6 linked regions of the Coturnix japonica genome follow. The protein of the gene in region 2 interacts with the protein of the main gene of each other region in a pairwise test. Links are inferred from orthologs where the notes say so. Each region holds a gene or a part of one and is shown on either strand. Other genes may lie near its edges.

The links.
Region 1: the proteins of SMAD4 (region 2) and RASSF5 interact in binary tests that used the Homo sapiens proteins (3 or more experiments, as listed by UniProt). The link is inferred for Coturnix japonica from reciprocal best matches to the Homo sapiens genes SMAD4 and RASSF5.
Region 3: the proteins of SMAD4 (region 2) and ATF7IP interact in a two-hybrid assay, tested with the Homo sapiens proteins (2 studies listed by BioGRID and IntAct). The link is inferred for Coturnix japonica from reciprocal best matches to the Homo sapiens genes SMAD4 and ATF7IP.
Region 4: the proteins of SMAD4 (region 2) and EWSR1 interact in binary tests that used the Homo sapiens proteins (3 or more experiments, as listed by UniProt). The link is inferred for Coturnix japonica from reciprocal best matches to the Homo sapiens genes SMAD4 and EWSR1.
Region 5: the proteins of SMAD4 (region 2) and DCP1A interact in binary tests that used the Homo sapiens proteins (3 or more experiments, as listed by UniProt). The link is inferred for Coturnix japonica from reciprocal best matches to the Homo sapiens genes SMAD4 and DCP1A.
Region 6: the proteins of SMAD4 (region 2) and PIAS1 interact in a two-hybrid assay, tested with the Homo sapiens proteins (2 studies listed by BioGRID and IntAct). The link is inferred for Coturnix japonica from reciprocal best matches to the Homo sapiens genes SMAD4 and PIAS1.

Annotation. Positions count from the first base shown.
Region 1 is NC_029541.1:2,738,722-2,742,221, forward strand, and holds part of RASSF5 (ras association domain-containing protein 5), read left to right. Parts: intron 1-1,843; coding exon 1,844-1,956; intron 1,957-2,971; exon of another isoform or gene 2,972-3,312; coding exon of another isoform or gene 3,313-3,414; intron 3,415-3,500. UniProt on the Homo sapiens protein: Potential tumor suppressor. Seems to be involved in lymphocyte adhesion by linking RAP1A activation upon T-cell receptor or chemokine stimulation to integrin activation.
Region 2 is NW_015439872.1:57,627-61,803, reverse strand, and holds the start of SMAD4 (mothers against decapentaplegic homolog 4), read right to left. Parts: upstream 2,801-4,177; 5' UTR 2,763-2,800; coding exon 2,348-2,762; intron 1-2,347. UniProt on the Homo sapiens protein: In muscle physiology, plays a central role in the balance between atrophy and hypertrophy. When recruited by MSTN, promotes atrophy response via phosphorylated SMAD2/4.
Region 3 is NC_029516.1:44,491,715-44,495,963, forward strand, and holds the start of ATF7IP (activating transcription factor 7-interacting protein 1), read left to right. Parts: upstream 1-1,449; 5' UTR 1,450-1,510; coding exon 1,511-1,557; intron 1,558-4,249. UniProt on the Homo sapiens protein: Recruiter that couples transcriptional factors to general transcription apparatus and thereby modulates transcription regulation and chromatin formation. Can both act as an activator or a repressor depending on the context.
Region 4 is NC_029530.1:9,960,591-9,963,374, reverse strand, and holds part of EWSR1 (RNA-binding protein EWS), read left to right. Parts: intron 1-430; coding exon 431-468; intron 469-1,048; coding exon 1,049-1,081; intron 1,082-1,991; coding exon 1,992-2,110; intron 2,111-2,665; coding exon 2,666-2,784. UniProt on the Homo sapiens protein: Binds to ssRNA containing the consensus sequence 5'-AGGUAA-3'. Might normally function as a transcriptional repressor. EWS-fusion-proteins (EFPS) may play a role in the tumorigenic process.
Region 5 is NC_029527.1:4,968,262-4,971,761, reverse strand, and holds part of DCP1A (mRNA-decapping enzyme 1A), read left to right. Parts: intron 1-1,417; coding exon 1,418-1,556; intron 1,557-3,500. UniProt on the Homo sapiens protein: Necessary for the degradation of mRNAs, both in normal mRNA turnover and in nonsense-mediated mRNA decay. Removes the 7-methyl guanine cap structure from mRNA molecules, yielding a 5'-phosphorylated mRNA fragment and 7m-GDP.
Region 6 is NC_029525.1:17,355,773-17,359,857, reverse strand, and holds the end of PIAS1 (E3 SUMO-protein ligase PIAS1), read right to left. Parts: coding exon 4,078-4,085; intron 2,575-4,077; coding exon 2,278-2,574; 3' UTR 501-2,277; downstream 1-500. UniProt on the Homo sapiens protein: Functions as an E3-type small ubiquitin-like modifier (SUMO) ligase, stabilizing the interaction between UBE2I and the substrate, and as a SUMO-tethering factor. Catalyzes sumoylation of various proteins, such as CEBPB, MRE11, MTA1, PTK2 and PML.

The sequences.
Region 1 (3,500 bases), on a different chromosome or scaffold from region 2:
AGCCCCGAGCTGTGCAATGGGCTCCACTGTGCTCTAAATATATAAATAAATGTATCCGTCAAATAGATTCACCGATGGCTCATGTCAATGCTTTATCTCCATGGGATAAGGCTGTGGAGGCAGGCGCTGCTCTGCGCAGTGCTGTGCTGCCTTGGGAGTGTTGGTCCCCCTGCTGAGGATGTCGGAGGGCAGAGCAGAGGCTGCTGTTTGCTTTGGGTTCATTGCAAAGAGAATCCGCAAAGTATTCAGGCACTTTTTCAAGTCCAAGTCTTGCTCCGAGGGACCGCAGAGGCTGAGCAGGGAGGGCTCATTGCTGAGAGGTAGGGGCTGTGTTTGGGTGTCTGTTGGTTGCTGTTGTTAATGAAGGGGGGTAATGGGGTTCCATAGAGCACAGCTGGAAGTGCTTCATGCCTCAGCAGGGAAGCTGCTCCATTAAGAAGCAATGGCTTTAGAGCATCACCCACCCAGTGGCTGCTTTGTGCTCCTGTCCCAGCTTGGTGCAATGGCTGGGGTTACCCTATGAAGCTGGACAGCTTTGAAGAGCATTATATCAAAGGATGCCAATGGCACACAGGGCTGGGCAGGGTGACTGCAAGCTGCGCTTAGGCAGATGGATGAGCACCCAGATGGGGTTCAGTTGCACATCCAATGTTATCACTCTGATAAGCTTTATCTGCATGCAGAGGGAAGTTCCTTTCAGCTACTAAAGTTTCTTGCTATGTTGTGATCAGACTCGAGGGTTTTCTTTACTTAAAGAAGCTGTTTCCAGCGGTGGCTTTGTTTGACTCGAATAGAAATGATCTCACGGCCGCAATGGAGGCATCCTGCCCCATCACGTGGCTGCTTCCCAGGGCTGTGCTGGGCTTCTAAAATTAGTGCTGCCCACCAGATAGTGGTGATTAGGGCTGCTAATAGGCGGCGGTGACTAAGGAGGTGTCATGCTGTAATCCTAAGGGGGAAATGCCTGGCTGTGATGGGGGTGGACTCAGTGATTTGTGGTCTGTATTTCACACTACAGACTGCTCCCCATTGTGGGTGCTCCATCATTCCCATCCTACATGCCGTGCATGGGGACATCTGAATGTGATGCCTTTGGGGGCTGCTGTGTTGGTTGCTCAGGTGGGGCTGCAATCACAGCCTGCTGTGCTTGGCACCTTGCAGCATAGAGCTGGCAAATGTCCCACTGAGCAGCTGCTCCAGCTGTTTGAAAGGTCATGCATTGCATTACCATGCAACTGCTTGGCTTATCCCTCATTAAAATTAAGAGGGGGGAAAAAAATCAATCAGAAGACCCCCTTGCTTGCCTCCCAGCCTTGAGACAACCAGCTGGAAATGGTAGGATGGCAGCTGGTGTCAATTGAATGCTAAGCAATCAATGGTTCCTCTGAGGGAGATACTCAGGCACTGCGTGAATGCTCTGCTCCTGCTTGGGAATTCCTTGATAGGGGCAGAGATCTGATTCTATGGGATGTCACTTTGCTTTCTGCAAGTCCAAGGGGTTCAAAAGCAATGACCCAAGTGCCCAAAAATAATAGAGGGAAAGGCAGGTTTTCTTGTAGAGGGGGCCTCTGCAATGCTGAGGGTGTTGGTTTTGGGGAGGAGTGGGTGCTGGGTGGCCAACAGGTCAATGACTGCACTGGAATTGTGGGTTGTGTAAGAAATAATTGATTGAATGCTGTTTGTGGGGCTGTTAAAAATTAAAAGGGCTGTTGGAGTGGGGGGAGCACTCAGAGGGGCTGGATGTGGCTGCAGACAGCACCCATGGGTGTTGGTAGAGCGCAATGGGGAGGACATGGGGCTTCTGGCTGCTCTCCCATCACAGCACGGCTCTGTTCTCTCCCAGATTGCAGGTACACGTGCCATCAGCAATGCTGCAGCCTCGTCCAGCTGGACTGCCGCCGGCCTGACCCCGGGCAGCTCTCTCCTGTGGGCACCATTGTGCTCCCCTGCAGCCAGGTATGCCCTCATGGTGGTCAGCCTCTTTCCCAAAGCCCATTTCTTTGCTCTTAGCAGGGTGAGATTTCATTGCAGAGGTCGGCCCGTGGCCCTAATTGATGCTTGCTAATAAATTCCCTGTGCATCTTGCTTCTGTGCCCATCATCTGAAAAGGGAATAGGTGCCAGAATACACTGGGGAAATGGAGAACAGCACACTGGAAGGGTGGGAAATGCCGTGGCTGGTGTAGTTGGCAGCCAGTAAATAGTATTATCAAATGTAAGCAAAGCAGGAGCATCGGAGAAAGTTAGTAAAGTCCTGTTGGCACTTCATACCAAGCATTAATAATATGGGCCTTGATCCAGCAAAGTACTTAAGTGTGTTGTGTTTAGGTCCCAGATTGCTCTCCCTGGGTGCAGTGCAGCCAGCACAGCCTCTGCCTGGCTCAACCCTGGGGCTACAGCACCTTGATGTGGGATTTCCTACAAGAACAAAGGATTTGAATCATATTTTCAGCCTTGATGTCACCAAAGGTGATCTCCAGCTGACCCAGCTCTGCACCTGACACAGCACTTGGTTCTGCTCATGCCCTGCACGCTTGATTTAAGCCTATTTCTCTTCTAATTATGACCCAGCGCTGCAGAGGAGAAGAAAAATGCATTCCCTGTCTGCAAAGCTTCTAAATATTTGCGGCTTGAGCATAACTAGAAAGCAGCCTGGAGCCTCCTTATCTACACTGGCGGATGGGAGCAGCCCCGAGCTGGGGTCTGTGTCAGGCTGAGTTGTGGAGCATGAGTTTCCATCCCCCTGCAGTGAGGGGGTTGCTGCAAACGGGGTCAAGGAGCTGGGCAGCATTTCCTTGGCTTGTACCTACACAGCTCCCAAAGCATCTGCAGAGCAGATGGACCTTCACTGCCCCCTGCACAGCACTGCAGGGCTTGTACCCCTTCCCCACCTCTTTTTGGATGCAGCGCATCTCTGCGAGCATCCCTCGCTCCAGCCTGTGTTTGGGATGCAGGGAAGGAGCAGCTCTCTTTCTAAGCTCCACATCAAGGACACGTTTCCATTCAGCAGCACCACGGGAGGCTCCGGGGCTGCCCAGCGCTTCAATCCCTGCTCTAAGGGTGAGAGATTTTGCAATGAGGAAGCGGGCGCTTTGCGCAGCAGGAAGGGGGAGGCAATGCTGCGCAGCGAGCTGGGGGCGAAACGACACGGCGGCCGCTCCATGCTGCACAGAGGAGGAGGAGGAGAGAGAAGGGTTACCCGAACTCAGGAGCAATCGCTGCTGAGGATGAGCAGCAGGAGATGCAGATGAGAGCCAGGCAGTGCGGGATGTGAGCGCTGCGGAGCCGCCTTCGATGAGCCATCGGCGGCAGCATGAGCAGCGGGTACTGCAGCTTGGATGAAGACCTCGAGGATTGTTTTTTCACTGCAAAAACCTCTTTCTTCCGCAGCGCGCAGAGCAAGGGACCCACCAAGGTAACGGCTCAGCAATGCAGAGAGGAGGGCTGTGCGATGCGGGAGGTGGTGGTGAGCTCTGTGCACGTTTGGCTGCAGGTGCTGCT
Region 2 (4,177 bases):
ATAGGATCCAATAGGACTCTATAGGACCCAATAGGAACCAATGGGGCTCCATAGGAATCAATAGGACCCCATAGAACTCAATAGGACCCCATAGAAACCAATAGGACTCCATAGAACTCAATAGGACCCCATAGGAATCAATAGGACCCCATAGGATCTAATAGGATCCCATAGGATCCAATAGGACCCCATAGGATTCAATAGGACCCCATAGAACTCAATAGGACCCCATAGGATCTAATAGGACCCCAATAGGACCCCATAGGATCTAATGGGACCCCATAGAACTCAATAGGACCCAATAGGACCCCATAGGATCCCAATAGGACCCTATAGGACCCCATAGACCCCATAAGACCCCATAGGACCCCATAGAACTCAATAGGATCCCATAGGAACCAATAGGACCCCATAGGACCCCATAGGATCCCAATAACACCCTAATAGGACCCCATAGAACTCAATAGGACCCCATAGAACCCAATAGGACCCCATAGGATCCCAATACGACCCCATAGGACCCCATAGACCCCATAGGACCCCATAGGATCTAATAGGACCCCATAGGATCTAATAGGACCCCATAGACCCCATAAGACCTCATTGGACCCCATAGGAACCCATAGAACCCAATAGGACCCATTATAAACCCCGTAGTCCCTTACGCAAATTGCGTAACTCCTCCCCATTATAAACCCCTATTCCCTTACGTCAATTGCGTAACCCGACTCCCACTTACGCAAGCTCCGTATCTCCCCCCCATTATAACTACCGCACTCCCTTACGCAAATTGCGTAACCTGAGCCCTCACTTACGCAAATTGCGTAACTCCCCCCATTCTTTCCTATGGCCTCCCTTACGCAATTTACGTATCTCCCCCCATTAAATCATAGGACCCTATAGAACTCAATAGGACCCCATAGGACCCTATAGGACCCCAATACGACCCGATAGGACCCCATAGGACCCCAATACGACCCCATAGGACCCCATAGGACCCCATAGGACCCCATAGAATCCCATAGGATCCAATGGGACCCCAATGATACGGGTTGACACACACACTGTCACACTTGAGATCGAACGCGTACTGACAATACTTGACGTGCTTCAACCCCATAGACCCCATAGGACCCCATAGGATGCAATGGGACTCCATAGGACCCCATAGAAATCAATAGGACCCCATAGAAACCAATAGGACTCCATAGAACTCAATAGGACCCCATAGGAATCAATAGGACCCCATAGGATCTAATAGGATCCCAATACGACTCAATAGGACCCTATAGGACCCCATAGAACTCAATAGGACCCTATAGGATCTAATAGGACCCCAATAGGAACCCCATAGACCCCAATAGGACCCTATAGGAACCCAATGGGAATCAATAGGACCCCATAGAGCCCCATAGGACCCCATAGAGCCCCATAGGACCCCATAGGATCTAATAGGACTCCATAGAACTCAATAGGACCCCAATAGGACCCCATAGGAACCCATAGAACTCAATAGGACCCTATAGGATCTAATAGGACCCCATACACCCCAATAAGACCCCATAGAAACCAATAGGACCCCATAGGAATCAATAGGACCCCATAGGAATCAATAGGACCCCATAGAAACCAATAGGACCCCATAGAACTCAATAGGACCCCATAGAACCCCATAGAACCCCATAGGACCCCATAGGACCCCACAGACTCCATAAGACCCCAATAGGACACCATAGGACCCTATAGGACCCCATAGGATCTAATAGGACCCCATAGGACCCCATAGGACCCCATAGACCCCAATAGAACCCCAATAGGACCCCATAGGCCCTAATAGGACCCCATAGAGCCCCATAGAACCCAATAGGACCCCATAGAACTCAATAGGACCCCATAGAACTCAATAGGACCCCATAGAACTCAATAGGACTCCATAGAAGCCCCTTACGCAGTTTGCGTAACTCCCCCCCCATTAACCACCATAGTCCCTTACGCAAACTACGTAACTTCCCTTACGCAACCTCCGTAACTCCCATTATCGAACCCCCCGCCCTTACGCAAACTGCGTAACTCCTCCCATTGGCTCCCTAGTCCCTTACGCAAATTGCGTAACTTCCCCTACGCAAACTCCGTATCTCCCCCATTATTTCCTATGGCCTCCCTTACACAAATTGCGTATCTCCCCCCATTATATCATAGGACCCTGTAGGACCCCATAGGACCCCAATACGACCCCATAGACCCCAATAGGAACCCATAGGACCCAATAGGACCCCATAGACCCCATAGGACCCCATAGGACCCCAATAGGACCCCATAGGACCCCATAGGACCCCATTGTACTCACCGATCCCAGGCGACACCACCCTCTCGTAATGATACGGGTTGACACACACACTGTCACACTTGAGATCAAACGCGTACTGACAATACTTGACGTGCTTCAACTCATTCTTATGCAGGTCGGGCCACCTCCATAACCTCGCATAGATCACATGGGGGAACCCTTTCCTCCCAGCCACCTGCAGCCTCCCGTCTAATGTACGTTGTATAGTCACGCATTTACTCGGGTGAGCCCCGTTGGTCGTAATGGCGGCGATGAGAGAATCCAGCTCGTCTTTCTTCTCCTTCAGCTTCTTAACGAGGCTCTCGATGGCTCGTTTGGCGAAGGTCTCGCTCTCTCCTCCCTGTCTGTGGCACATTAAGCTGTGCACGATGCTCAGACACGCGTCGTTGCTGCTGGGGGGGGTGGAGATGGACATGGCGGACACCGGGAACGATGGAGAGCCCGATGGAGGCCGCTAAGATGGAGGGACGCAGCACATCCGGGTACTTAGGGGGGGTTCCGGGTTGGGAAGCCGCAGTACATCCGGGGATTTGGGAGGGACTTCCGGGTTTGAGTTACATCCGGGGATTTGGAGGGACTTCCGGGTTTGAGGGACATACGGGTACTTAGAGGGACTTCCGGGTTTGAGTTACATCCGGGGACTTCCGGGTTTGGGAACCCGCAGTACATCCGGGGATCTGGGAGGGACTTCCGGGTTTGAGTTACATCCGGGCATTTGGGAGGGACTTCTGCATCCGGGAACTTAGAGGGACTTCCGGGTTTGAGTTACATACGGGTATTTAGAGGGGGCTTTCGGGTTGGGAACCCGCAGTACATCCGGGGATTTGGGAGGGACTTCCGGGTTTGAGTTACATCCGGGGACTTAGAGGGGACTTCCGGGTTGGGAAGCCGCAGTACATCCGGGAACTTGCAGGGACTTCCGGGTTTGAGGGACATCCGGGGACTTACAAGGGACTTCCGGGTTTGAGGGACTTCCGGGTTTGAGTTACATCCGGGGACTTGGAGGGGCTTCCGGGTTTGAGTTACATCCGGGGACTTAGAAGGGACTTCCGGGTTGGACGCCCGCAGTACATCCGGGGACTTAGAGGGGACTTCCGGGTTTGAGTTACATACGGGTACTTAGAGGGGACTTTCGGGTTGGGAGCCCGCAGTACATCCGGGGATCTGGGAGGGACTTCAGGGTTTGAGTTACATCCGGGGACTTACAAGGGACTTCTGGGTTTGAGGGACTTCCGGGTTTGAGTTACATCCGGGGACTTCCGGGTTGGGAACCCGCAGTACATCCGGGGATCTGGGAGGGACTTCCGGGTTTGAGTTACATACGGGTACTTAGAGGGGACTTCCGGGTTTGGGAGTGAGCATGAGTTACATACGGGGATTTAGAGGGGACTTCCGGGTTTGGGAACCCGCAGTACATCCGGGGACTTGCAGGGACTTCCGGGTTTGAGGGACATCCGGGGACTTGGAGGGACTTCCGGGTTTGAGTTACATCCGGGGACTTCCGGGTTGGGAACCCGCAGTACATCCGGGGATCTGGGAGGGACCTCCGGGTTTGAGTGACATCCGGGGACTTGGAGGGACTTCCGGGTTTGAGTTACATCCGGGGACTTCCGGGTTGGGAACCCGCAGTACATCCGGGGATTTGGAGGGACTTCCGGGTTTGAGTTACATACGGGTATCTGGAAGGCACTTCCGGGTTTGGAGGTGCGCATGCGCAACATCCGGGCACTCGCGGCGCGGCCTTAAGAGCCGCCTCCATGTTGCGTGCGCACAACGGGGAGCGGCCTAAGCTACATCCGGGTCTTGAGGCGTCGTGGACACACGGTAAGA
Region 3 (4,249 bases), on a different chromosome or scaffold from region 2:
AGTGCTAATTTCTTTCAAAATAGCTCTGTCTGTTCTTGCAGTTATTTAAAAATAGCTGTGTTTGGATTTTCTAGACGAGTTACATGATGAAGCAATGCAGATATGGCAGTGCTCCTTCCAGATCTCGTGCACTATTGCTTGGATGAGAGCAGATCATAGAATCATTGGTCTTTTCCAGTCTGAGCGATTCTTAAAGATCATAGAGTCCATCCATGACCTAACCATACTACCCGAACTAACAACCCTCCACTAAATCGTCTCCCTGAGCACCACACCCAAACAGTTTTTAAACACATCCAGGGATGGTGACAGCCACCTCCCTGGGGAGCCCATTGCAGTGCTTAACAACCCTTTCGGTAATCTAAACTTACCTTGGCACAACTTGAGGCCATTTCCCCTCATCCTGTCACCAGTGAGAGGAGACCAACCCTGCTCTCACTGTAAGCACCTTTCAGATATTGGAAGGGAGCAATAAGGTCTCCTCTCAACCTCGTTTTCCCCAGACTAAACAGCCCCGGTTATTATTGGTGCTAATGAACAGATCTTAACGGGGAACTTGTGTCCTATTCTACTTATGTGAAAGCTGTGTATTTGTCTAACGTTCCCCTGCCTGTAACCCCTCCCTCACTTCACCGCTTCTCCCTCCCCTGAATTTCCAAATCTGCTTGATCTCCAGGAGCAAACTTAAAAACCAAAACAATAGCAGCATGAACAAAATTACTGAAAGGATTCTAGATGGTTCTGGAAGAAAAAAAAAATAATCTGTAACAGTGATGCAATACATTATGTAAGACTTAAGTATGTGAATTCTGGGCTTTACTGAAGTTCTTTGGTGTTCCTGACTTGTGGTTTGGTGTTTTTCTTTGTTTGTTTTGTTAGCAGCTTCCTCATTTCTACCTTCATTTTTCCCCACCCCCCAACTAAAGCTGTTTTATTGATTAACTAATGTTTCAAAAGAGCCACTACTGTAAAAAGGTACAGATACTTTTGTTTGTTTGTTTTTATAAGAGAAAAAAAAAAAGGCTGATCTTCAAAATTAATCCCTAATACTTGTCAGGTCTAGCCATGATTTGGCTCTGTCTATGGCTGTTAATGTGTGACATGGATTCTGAACTGCCCGGAGTAAGGGAGAATTTGGAGTATGTGATACAAATTCTGGATTGCAGACCTAGCAATGCTGCGTCTTTCAACATCCAGCGGGTCTTTGTTTATTTTTGCTTTCTTTTTGCAGCTACTCAGAACACCACTGGTAATGTTGCAGCCATGCATTAACCATTTTCTGCCTAAGAAACCTTTTATCTGGCCCCCCTCTGCCTGTGCAGTTTGTTGCAGTGTAGTGAAGAGGGAGGTGCTCTGCTGTGTAAAAGCTTTATCCACTGCTGAGTTGTCACTGAATGGCTGGTCTTGAGTGCACATCGCAGCCATCTTAATCACATTTTCAGTGCAGCTCAGACAGTGCAGTTTCAAAATGGCTGACAAAGTGTTCATTGCAGCAGTTTAGCTTGATTGTATGCAAATGAGCAGAGCTGATGGCATCACATGCTTCAGACCTTGGAGGTAAGCGCCAGTTCTGCTTTGCTGAGAAGCAATTCTATCATTTTGGCTGAATGAAATTTGGAATTTTAACCTGGAAAAGTGTGATTTTTTTTTTTCTTTTTTTTTCTTTTTTCCTTGTCAGTAGGAGGGTGGTTGTCATGTTGTTGCTTTACCCCTCTCATTGAATTAGTTCATAGATCTCTTATCTTTTCTCAGTTACAGGGTAGATGGGGTGGGGTTGAAGAGGTCAAAGGTCACACATATATCTTGCTTAACAAGTGATTTAATTGTGGTTCGCTTCCTTACCAGGCCAGAAAGAGCTCTTACTTCATGCTACTCATTTTTCAAAATCTTGCCACGTTTTATATTTTCATCTTATATTTATTTTATATTTTATACTTATTATATTTATTTTATAAAATAAACTCTTTATCAAGTAGCTAGATTTACATTTGATACTGTATTTTCAACAAGTTAATTTTTTCCAATGTTAAATTAAAATTTCAAAACCTGCATAAACACATTGGAATAGCAATAATTATGTAAATATTAACTATTTTGCAGGTAACAGTTAGTTATTAGTCAAGAATAAGAGCTGTATAAATCTTGCAGAACTGCTACAAATAATAAAGTGAAAGATATAGAGTAAATTGTTCTTTTCTTATATGAAATCTGAGTTTCAGAGTTCCAGTGGCTTCTTATGACCTGGGTGTTTTCTGCATGTTACTCATTGAAGGTCGCCTGGGTATCTGTCATGCTGAAACTTAATTAAATGTAGGTGATAGGTGTTGGTGTCCAAGACCATGAAAACAGGAGAAAAGCAGTGTTCAGATTGAAAGAGTAAGAGAAAGGAGATACTTTTCCACATTAGTAATTTATTATCTTGTTTGCATCGGACTAAATTACCTAATTAAGGTTTTCATGGGGTCTTAAGCTATATGTGAGTTAATTTTGTAGTAATTAAATAGGAAGTTACTTGAAGTTCTCATGAGAGATCTCAGAAGTAGCAGAAGAGCTGAGTAATTCATCAGTATTTATGAGTGACTACATAGTATTTTTCTTGTCTGAAGGTGAACTTAATGCAAAAATTGTGAAAGTCCATATTAAATGCTTAAAAAAGTTTATTCCTTCAATATTTTTGCATGTTGATTCATGTTTTTTTGTTTGTTTGTTTCTTTTTACATGTCTTGTTACAAAGTACTTTGTGGTTAAATTAGTTCTGAAATATCTGTTTACATAAATGATCTTCTAATGTTATTGGCAATGTACCATTTTGAAAATAATGAAGTATTTTGAGCAAATGGTGCATGTCAGGTTCTCAGGAGACATTGCTGCATGCTTACCTTTGTATCTAATACAAGAACAGAAAGTGATTTTTTTCACAAAAATCACTAAAACACAGGAATTTAAGGGTGGATTGATTCTTGACTTCAACTAACTGTAAACTTCGTAAATCTAGTTCCTGTAAGAGATTCCTGCTTTAGAATAACAGGTAAGTGATAGCAATAACACCTACGTGTGATTGCAGTTGAAGCTGACAGGTAGTCCTATTACTTGTTTTTATTACTCATACAATTCTTTTCGGTCATTCTTGACTTAAATGTTTATAGTGGCCTTTCTTGATTGGATAAGGTAGTTAAAGACACAGAAATAATTTGGGCATGTCGGAATGTCTTGAGAATTTGGTCAGTAAGGCCTATTTAAATCTAGCTAAAATGTGCCTTATTTATAATAAATGCATGCTAGTAGTGTAACAAGACTTCCATCTTCCCATCTCCCAGAGAGTCTCTGATTTCCTGTAAGATAATGACTCATGTCATCCTGACCCCATCTTACAAAAGATTGCTGAGGTTTCTGTTTGTGTAGTTTTAGCTGTTAATTGTTTCCAGTTAATTCCAGATGTTAATAACTCATTCTTTGAAACAAAAAGAAGGAATCCATTCTTTATGATAACTGAATTGCTACTTTGTAAACACTGAAAAGGATATTTTGTCTCAAACATGCTTTATTGCATGTATACGTGAAAATTGTCAAGAAATATTGACTCTGTTTTCTGCTGTTTTGTTAACCCCTCTTTTAGAGGAACACAAAAAGGGAAGGTGGCGTCTTTTTTTGGACTTTTGTTGTAAGGATTGGTTTTTAACATGTGTTAGGCTTTGGTACAGCAGTGTATATTCACATCAGCTCTCTCATGCAGTTCTTTTTGTGCCTTTATTTTTTTATTTTATTTTTTTAAATTTTTTTGGTGTTTTATGTCAGCTTTATGTCAGTTAAGTAAGTTAACTTCCATTTTACAAACAAAGCAAAATGGACAGAGATTACCAGGGTTTAGAGGAACACCTTGTCTCCACAGTGTTTGCCAATTCCTTTGATCTTTGGTTTACTTTATAGCAGGACATTAAAAAGTGTTATCATTTTTGGAGTTGCTGTAGGAAATAACTGGTTCAGAAGGGAGCTATGGAGTGTTTTGTAGTTGGGTGGGTTGGGTTTTTTTCCTTCAGTGAAATGGACATTGGAATGCATGCAATATGTTAGGTCCTGAAATCAATGTTAACATGGAACTTCTGTTTTCAGATGTTTTGAGTAGACAGTAATACTGGTAGCTGAAAAGATTACTCTTTTTCCCTTCCTCCCACATTTTCAGTATTTTTATTTGTTCTTTCATAGTTGAAATACATTGATTACCTAAATGGAAGCACGGCACTCTAATGGA
Region 4 (2,784 bases), on a different chromosome or scaffold from region 2:
TGAACTGTTAATGTCAGGGTCCCGGCAGGCTGAGGGTGCACTTTGTGAACACGCCGCAGGGAGGGAGCGACCAGCGGGCAGCCCTGGATCACAGGGATTGATCTGCAACGCTCACGGATGGGTGTCAGTTTGGTTTGGTGGTTGTTTTCTTTTTGCCAAGTATTGCACTGCTAATACCAATACAAAGTAATGGAAGGGTACCGACAGCAAAGTGGTGTCTAGAACCAGACAAGCGAGGTTGTGTATGTAAAGGAAATTTGAGCGAGCTGCCCTGAAGAAAGGCATAGTGACGAGATGAGAGAGAGAGAGAGACAGATGCATTGTTTGGAGATGTTTAGCCAGTGCCCTTCTTCCCTGTGAGCCGCAGAGGCTCAGAGCGGTACTGGCTTTGTAAAGGGAAAGGCCTTCATTTCTTCGTTTATCCCCCCAGCAGCGCTGGAGAGCGAGGTGGCTTCAATAAGCCTGGTGGTAAGTTTTTGAGCATTACAATGGATAGTGTTTAACGGAAAAAAAAAAAAAAAAAAGAATAATAATAATAATAAATAATAATGATAATAAAACAAACCAATTGCAGTCAGTCTGTAGAAAAAAATAAAGTGTAATTTGTCTTAGTTTTAAGTGGTTAAAAATGACGTATGCAACAAGACTGTAATGGGTAGAGCCGGCCATGCCCAGGGGTACGCGGTTACAGGTGATATGGAAGCATTGAGAAACCACTTCTGTAATTGGGGGAAAAGAAATGGTTTGGATTTGATAATTCTTAAGTAACTTTTGGATTAACCAACTGTAAAACGGATTGGCCTGGTAAAGCATTAAGACAAAAAACCAACCCCACGCAATAGTGGTTAATGGATGGAAAGGCTGCTAAAAACAGCGAACCGGTCGCCACGTAGAGGTGCATTGCTGGTGATTGTGCAGTGCGGGTCAGTTGGAGTTTAACCAGCGCCATCGAATGGTGGTTATAAGTAGATAGTGATGTGTGTGTCGCTCCTTCAGCCCGCAGGGCCTGCACTAACACTGCTTCTTATGGTTCTCTCCCGACTGGCAGGACACATGGAGGAAGGACCGGACCTTGACTTAGGTAATTGTCACTGCTCACACCCCTCCCAGGCTGCTGGCGTGGAGGTTTCTGTGCCCATCTCAGCTGGCAGAAGATGTTGCCCCGTATCTCGCCCTCCCATAACCCAAGTACAGAGGTGCTCTGCTGTTTGCAGTCTCTTTGGGGCTGTTTCATCTGATTCTCTATTCCTGGTTCATCAGAGCGCTTGGACTGGTGGAAGCCCACACGTGTCTGTGAGATGCTTGTGCTTCTCTATGGAGCCAGGGGGCTCTTGCCAAGGAGCTGCTGTGTGGCTGCCTGGAGCAGCAGAAAGCACGTTCCAGGCTGCAGCAGTCTGGAGCTTGTAGGCACTTGTCCAGCAGTCTCCTTCCTCCTTATAAGATCATAGAATGGTTTGAGTTGGAAGGGGCCCTTAAAGGCCGTCTTACCCAACCACCCCCTGCAACAAACAGGGGCACCCACAGCTCCATCAGTGCTCACAGCCCCATTACCTGTGGCTGTCTGCAGGGATGGTGCACCACCCACCACCTCAATGGGCAGCCTGTGCCACCCCCACCTGGGGCCCTTTTCTTCCTCCTGCACAGACACATTTGGTAGTTCCCCATCAGCCTAAGGAAAGAGGGGATTATAGCAGCAGGAGGGGTGAGCATCCACATGCGGGACCTGGAGGATGCAGGGGTGTGTTGTGCCTTTGGGTCTCGCTCATGCCCCATTGCAGAGGTCTTGCATGGTGCCCTGGCCATGCTGGGTGGCTGCAGCAGAGAGCTCAGCCCTTAGCACTGCTCTCTGTGCCTGGGGTTTCCTGGAGTGCCTCAGTTCTATGTCGCTTCATAAATGCACTTATTGAGAGAGAAGCTGCAGCTGGCTGAGGGGTGACGTGCTGCTGGATCGCTGCCTCTTCCACTGCCTGACCCTGAGATTTGTCTCCTAGGCCCACCTATAGACCTGGATGAGGACTTGGACAACAGCTCAGTGTATGTGCAGGGACTCAATGATAACGTGACCCTGGAGGATCTGGCAGACTTCTTCAAACAGTGCGGGGTTGTCAAGGTGAGAGGAACGTGTGTGTGCAGGTGAGCACAGAGAAGGGAGCTGGCTGCCTCCTCCCTGCCCACTGTCCCATTCAGCCCCTTCTGTGGAGCCGGGCAGCTCTGATGGGCAGTGAGATCAGCACAGCCTGGAGCTGCCCTGTAGCACAAGCTCCCCAAAAGATCCTCATCAAGCTTTGTCCCTCTGTGCACTTCCATCAGCCATGCAGAAGCAGCAGTGCTTACAGACTCAGGAAGCATCCGTCTGTGGATCTGCTGCGGGTGGGATGTGTGACAGCTTGAGCGCAGGGCGGTGGGGAGAGTGGAGGAGGATGTGGGGAGGCTGCAGCTCCATTCCTGCACTCACAGGAGCCTGCAGGAGAGGCTGCTGGGCCAGTTCCTGCTTTTGGTTGCCATGGGTGGCTGTTGGTGTGGTAAGCCAGAGGGCCATTTCTCTTGCCACGGAGTTGCTAAGTGGAAGTGTTAGCTCAGATCAAAAGCAGAACAGGGGGGAGAGCCCCCACTCGGTGTATACGGGGATGTGTGACTTGTTATAAATGATTTGATGTCCTGCTAGATGAACAAGAGGACTGGGCAGCCCATGATACACCTCTACATTGACAAAGAAACTGGCAAACCGAAAGGAGATGCCACGGTCTCTTATGATGACCCATCCACTGCCAAAACAGCTGTGGA
Region 5 (3,500 bases), on a different chromosome or scaffold from region 2:
TGCTGACTCAAAGTGTTCTGTTTCTTTCATCTTGCCTTTTCTCATCCCTAGTTTTGGATTTACGTTTAGACAAGTCCCAAGTCAGGACTGTATGACCATGTGGGGTGCTAGAACAAAATGTACTCTGATGGTGTCACCATAGAAACGTTCGTACAGTATTGAGCTGCTTCAGCCAAACCAGCACATGTTGCAGTTCTTAGAAATTGTCTGAGTAGATTGGCCCCCAGATTCTGAGTTTGGTTTGCAGGTTAAATCTTGCATACAAATAGGGAAAGCTTTAGTGAGTAATGAAAATCTGATCAAATAAGCAGCATGTATGATTATAAGTTTTGAAACTGCTTTTCCTGATTAAGTCTGTTGCCTTTTTTCTTTCTTCAAGTAAACATGGCTGAACTCTACTGAAGGGTCTCCCAGAAAACTGGGAGAAATTGCAGACTTGTGTTGTTTTTTTCCTTAGAAGCGTTAGTGTAGAGGTACATACAAATATCTATTTACTCAGCAATCTGTACATTCCAGAGTTACTCCTGAATCGTAGCTGACCAGAAGGAACTGGAGGCTGGAATGATTGACGCTTTCTGTGATTGCTGTGATGGCACCTCTCGGCTCCCCCATCAGCTCCACAGCATGAGAGTTTAAGTGATGTGCCAGAGCTCTGCCCTGCTTTCAGTGCTCGGTTTTTTTCTTAACATATTTGATTAATGCAGGCTTAAAAAAGAGGGGATTACAGGCTGGTGTATGTTTATTTCAAGAAGATAAGCGTTAGTGCATTGCATGGCCATGTGTATCTTGTGAACTGCGAATGGATTAGGAGTAGGAATATATGTTGCCTTTACTTTCATTAATGAAATGCATGAGGTATACATCTTCACTGTGTGTATCTTAATAATCTTTTAACAAGTTTTCTTAGCCTTAAGGCAGTAGGGGTAGTGGAGAAGTGTTGAATGAACCATAGGCATCAAAGACCAGAGGAAGTGCATTGTTGTAAGCCTACAAGTAACTGGATTTACCGCTAGACAGCTGAAAAAGAAAATGGTTTGCTCTTCTTTCTTAAGTTCTTATTGGGGGAGGAAGGGGTAGCTTGCTTTAAGCTTCTTTCCAGTCTGACTCCAGAGACATCTGGTATGATCCAGCACTCTCCTTCCCTTGAGTATTTTGTTTTCTAATGGTAGGCTTTGTCCTAAATTGGAACTGGTTTGTTATTGGTTTTGTTGAATAATGTGACTTGGTGTGGCTAAACATGGAAACACTGCATGTTAAGAAGCAAGTAATAAAAATATTCTACTCAGTCTGTTATAATACATGTGCTCTGTGTACAGCACTGATGTCCACATATTTTATTGTTTGAAAAATAAAAAAAAAAAGGTAAAAAAAAAAAAAGATAAAATGTTGAAAACTCATTTCTCCTTTCCTGTTACAGAGTGGTAGAACAAGAAGCTCAGAGATCGCAGCAAGTTTCCCAGGACAGAAAAAGTCCCAGCAGAACAAATGGCTGCAGTGAGAACAGGCCTATTGACATCCTGGAAATGCTTAGTAAAGCCAAGGTTGAATATGAACGGGTAAGGAAATATGTTTATTTTCTTGCATTATGAACAAATAAAAACACTTGTTTATTTGGGGGTTAAGGCCTCATATGGACACTGGCAAAGTGCATTCCTTGTGACCTATGAGAGCAATGGTAGCGAAGTATTCTTGTATACTGGATTGTACTGCGTAGTATGCTGTCACCTAAGATTGCAAAGTAGCACATGTAATCCATAATTTATTGGGCCTGTAATTTTATATGTTTGAACTGCTGGATCATGGAGAAAAAGCAGGTACCTGGGAAAGCAAATGCAACAGATGCATTTTTTTTCTAAAACTGGATGTAGAGGCTCCATAGTATCACTGTTCATCTACTGTCATGTCTTGAGATCAGTCACAAAGAAAATGTGAACAACTATGTAACTCTGTAGAAGAGTAGATGACTGTGCCTGTTTTTGTGATCCTCTGAATATTCCTTAATAGTAGCTGACACTTGTTTTTTTCATTTTTTTCCTCTGTACTGAAAATCACTGGAGGAGGTTTGCTATTATTCGTGCCATAATCAACAGCGTTCATTAGGTTGCAAACCAAATTGCTTTGGCTTTAAGTAAGAGCTCAAAAGCTGTGTACTGTCCTATGCCTGTGATAGAAGCCAAGAAGTACAGTGGCCTACAGGGAAGGGTTTATATTGCCCAAGAAATTCTGAAAGCATTTCTTTCTAAGCCTAATAATACAAAAATATACAAAAGTAATTTATAGGTGTAATGTAGCAGAAATATGGTATGTGTTTTTAGCTCTATTGGTGGGGGAAAAGGTAGAAGCATTTCAGTGCTTCATTTCTAGTGCCGAAACTAGAGTAAATGCAAGATCCTCATACAATTCTAGGTTGCTACAACACATTGTGGAATGAGGAGGGAGGAAAGAACACATGGACTAAGCCACGTGCAAGCCAACTTCTATTCAGTTTCTCATGTAGTGTGAGGATAGATTAATGTGACAGTCTATAGACTGTAGTTGACCTGGGCTAGATACTAGTTTGTGAAGATCACATTTAAAGAAGTGGAATGTTTTTTTCTTATTAAAGGAGAAAAAAATCATGCAGGATTTCAGCTTTTCCTTTCTTAATTTTCTGGTCTTATGTGAGTTTTGGAAGCTTTTCCCTAGAAACAGAATTCCTGAGCATAATGGATGAAGCTCTGCAGAAAGGTAAAATGCTGATAAATAGACAGTGGCAGCTGTCACGCAGTATGGAAATACACAGATGTACTACATATGTGACTTCTTTGCCTCTCAATCTTGATTGTCCTGCCTGATGCTTTTAGAGCACCTTTGTAACTAGAAAATCTTTGCTTTGTACGTGTATGAGCTGAAAAGTGAATCTGCTGAAGTTAATCCCTTAACCTGCTATGACTGCAGTTCTGTACAAGTTGGTAGTTAAATAGAATCAAGCAAACTTCTTGGAGAATGTTCTACTGACCGCTCCAGGCAAGTGAACTTAGGAATTCCTTGTAAGCATCATACATTATTGTTAATGTGATTGGGTAAAGCAACTTGAAGATGGCTTCTTAAGATATCCTTTTTTGTCTAAATCTTTTAAAAATTATTTTATGGCACTCATTAATTACAATTGAATTTGTATTTAGGAGCAGAAAGTACTTATCTGCATGGTACATTCCAGATGGATCATACAGTAATCCTTGTGTGCAGCCCACATGAGATTGGCGGAGTGTCAGCATGAGAAGGGGGCAGAGAGAGTGAAAAAGAGATTTATGAAGGTCTGAGTGATTTAATCTAGGATTCCAAATCAGCTTAATCCTTCAAGTACTTGCTCCATCGAGGCCATATGTGAAAATGAATGAACTCCGAGATTTTTTTTTTTAATGAAGTGAATGGATGCTTTTTATAGTGTTTCTGTGTGTATTTCATTCTGAGAATGGAAACATTGCAGATTATCCTCTTGTGAAGGGAAACACTGTGTT
Region 6 (4,085 bases), on a different chromosome or scaffold from region 2:
GTATGAGACATATTCCTCATGTAGGTTTAATCACTTTGAAATCAGACTGAGTTTAAAAAATAAGTATTTCCCATTTTCTATCCTTTTATTTTATTTTTTTTTAACTGACATTTAATAAATTATAAAATTGGTGTATGGTGAAATATATATATATATATATATATCAGCCAGATATGTATGAAATACACATGCATGGGAAAAACTATTTAACTCACTTTTAACTCACACACACAGATCTATAAATACATATATACACACACATATACATATAAACACAAACATTTGTTTCCAAAATTCAAGTCAACTATTTAGTGGCAGAGGGATGCTGTAAAAACACTAGAAACAATTTTGATGCCACGTAATCGTGTGAACCTTTCAAAGAACCATACAACTGATCATACAGCAATACCTAATGCTACTTGGATTAACGTGTTTTTGCTTTTTTTTGTCTTTTTTTTTTTTTTTTTTTTTTCCTTTTTTTTTTCTTATTTTCTTTTTTTTTTTTTTTTCCTTTTTGTAATTAATGCAATATTTTGAGACAACTTCATAGGCAAAAGGTGGCCCTCGTCAATGCTCAAAGCAACTATAGCTGCAATCAGCAGCTTGGGACATTAAAAACTCAGACAAGCATCTGCTAACCTCTGTATTCCTCACTCTCTTTCCTGATAAACCTGTTACCTGCACTTCCAACCAGTTACAAAAATAGCTTTCACACCAGAGGAAATCACTTCTCTCTGATGGGACTTTGGGACACAACAGAATCACCTCCTCCCCTCCCCCTGCTCTCACTTTAAAGAATCTCCTGAAAAACTGCATTCCAGCTATTTACACGTTTCTCTGTAACAAGAACGGATCAGCCCAAATGATCCACCAGCTCTTAAAAAAAGGTTTTCCTATGTCACACACAGCTGAAAAAGTGAAGAAAGAAACGAAACCAGGAAGCAAACGTGGCTCCAAGTGTGATGGAAGGGAACTGAAAGGAACGGGGAATCAAAATAACCACCAAGCCATAAAGAGAAAACTGAATGGGAACCCCACAACCCTAAGAGAGACTTCAATAGGCAGAGATTCATTTAAGTGCAGGGAAGGGCACTGGGCTTCTTTTTTGGCTTAACAGACTCACATTAAACATTTAATACCAACTTGGGTGAAGGAGAACTCAGAAGACAGCAAACCAAGACCATTATCGGCTGCACCAACCATGCAATAGAGCGTCGGCATTTGTATTTTCTTCCTTTTGCTGACAAGTTCACTTTTAAGCAGAAATTTGATCTACTGCAGCTAAAAGGAGGTTTTCCAAGCCAGGAGACAGGCCCAACCCAGTGGGCCAGTCCTACACGCGTGGCTGATCTTAAAGCACAAGCAGCTCCACACATTTCAAACTGACACATGCTGAATATTGTGAGTAGGATCTTAAGTTATCTTAAAAGGATTTCATAGTAAGTTGTTAGAAACAAAAACCTACAGTCAGATGTGTCGATGCTTTTCTCTGGGGCTGGATTCTATATGAATTTGGTCTTGTCCCACATAACACAGCCAAACAACTTCTCAGCCTGACATTTTATTGAGTCTGGCCCTCCAGAATAATTGGTGCACTAACAAGCTCACAACATGCTTGATTAAAGCACGGAATTAAAAAGAAAGTCAGCCAAACAGAGGGTCACATAGAACAAGAAATGACAAATAAACACTCCTGAAAGGCTACGTACTGCAAACAGAGGGAACGGTGCGGAACAGGCTGGGTAGGGTTTATTCCACATCGAGCACAACAAAATCTGCACTAAAATGGGATGGGGGAATTCCATTCCACCACCAAATACAGGTGTCTCCAAGAGGCAAAAAAAAAAAGAAAAAGAAAAAAAACAACCCAGAAGTTTGAACTTCAGAAGTTCAGTTCCTTTTCCCATTTCTGTTACTGTGAAGAAAATAATGCCATTTGTGTCCAAACTAAGGGCAAAAGAAATAAGTAACTCACATGACAAATGCACAGGTGTTGAATCTTCAGCATCCATTAAATCCAAGTTCCTTGTTTTTGTGGGTTTTTGTGTGTGTGTTCTGCTTTGTGTTGTGGCATTTATTTATTTATTTATTTTGTTATTTTTTTTATCAGTGAGGCCATCTTAGGTTTATATACAAAAGTAAAACTGAAAATATAGTTTTGTTCTCTGTACATGTAAATTTTTTTCCCTAAAAAAGGAAAAAAACCTGTCTATGTTTCTAACATAAAGTAAAACCAAGCACAAAGACTTCCTCTGACAAGTTCGTTTTCTCCAAAAATCAGTCCAACGAAATAATGTCTGATATGATACCAAAGATAGACGCCGTGTCCGCGCCGCTCCTACTTGCAACTGGATGACCATGATTCTCTCGCAGGCTGTTGGAGGAAACAAGACTGCTGTTACTGCCACTATTGCTACCGTTTGTGGCTGGCAGAGAACTGCTTCCTCCTGCATTTAGCTGATCGAGAAACATCTGAGATGAAGTGTATGGGAAAAAACGAGAGTGTAAGAGTTCTTGATCATCTGATGCGGAAACTGCCGCAGCTGCAGCAGCAAGAAGGGATGTGTTGTAATGCTGGGGGGGGAAAAACAACATTTGCAAGTTACATTTCAGACACCATTGTTTTGATTCAGACCAGCAAAAAAAAAAAGAATATATTTGTAAGCTACAGCTCTGACAGCTTCTGGGTTTCACACCAGCTCGCCCACTCAACCTTTCTGTAAGGTAAACGGATCGATGCAGTGATCTTTTACTTCTGCAGCCTCTGAATTTCAGAGCCAAAAGGAATGGGAAATACTGGCAATTAGTAAGAAAAAACACTAGAAAGGTAGTGGCATTGCAAGACAGCCGAACAGTGAGAAATGTCAAGCAGAAGCACTTGTACCTCTCCATACAACTCCTTGGTGGAAAAATTCCCCAAAATTCAAAGAATCATTTTGCCATCCCTCTGCTCATTAGTCATCAACTACAGCTGGTAAAACTATGGGCTAATCACTGCTGGTGGAGAGAGAAACAGTTCTTCCCTGTGAAAAATACATTTAGAAATATGGGAAATATGTTTAGGCCCATCAGGAGGCAGCAAAGGCCGTCTGAAGTGACACTCTTTGACAGGCAGCACCCAAAAGGCAAGAACTTCAATTATCAAGGTCGGATTTTAAATGTTATTTATCTGTATGGTGCTTCTGCTCTTTATATTTGTTTTAACTACAAGGAAACATCCACACACGTCATTTAGCCTTGTTTCCTGGCACTCGAGCACTGGTACAACTATGCCTTGCCAGTGCAACACCAGACTTTGGCAATACTCATTTCAGAATTATTCTCATGTCTGTCTTTTTACTGAATATGAAGAAAGCTTCTCTGAATCCAAGTTCTGTTAAACAGGCTCTGGACTTTGCAATGACATGGAAGTCCCCTTGTTTTTAGTCCCATTCTCCTACCTGAGAGTGCTGAACAGGAATGGAGGGAAGAAAGGTGGTGAACCACCCCAACCCTCTTCTTTGCTGGGAAGCACTGAAGGGGTAGTGACCAAGTGGGAGAATTCACCAAACCTTTTGAGAACCATCTTTTTAGTTCCCCGAACTGCAGAAGCCAGCACCAAATCTAGTTCATTTCAGTAAGTGCTTACAGGAAAGCAGCAAGCAGTGTGAGCAGGCACACAGCCTCAGGGGAAGAGGAAAATAAAAGGAGCTGCCCTGACTCTCAAAATTGCATAGAGCACTGTCAAGAGACCCAGTGATGGGGCCTAACATGGTCAGATGGAGAAAGATCACACTAACTTAAAGTATGTAAAAGTGTGCATTTTCAGCCACAGCCAAGGGTCATCCTGCAATATACCTGCAGCTAACTAGCTTGAAGCCCTTGAAGAAAAGTCTTTGTCTGCTGTTATGCCTTATCATGCATCTGTATTTAGGATAATGCTTATGTCTGGTTACATCCTATGTGCACAAAAGAGGTACAGTCTGCCTGCACTCACACCTGTGTTACAGATCTGCTCTTTCCTCGCCTATACATCCAAGTCAGCAAGTCCTTATCAGAAAAGCAATCTGCCAGATGGTTTGATTTTCCTTAACTTACCTGATTGT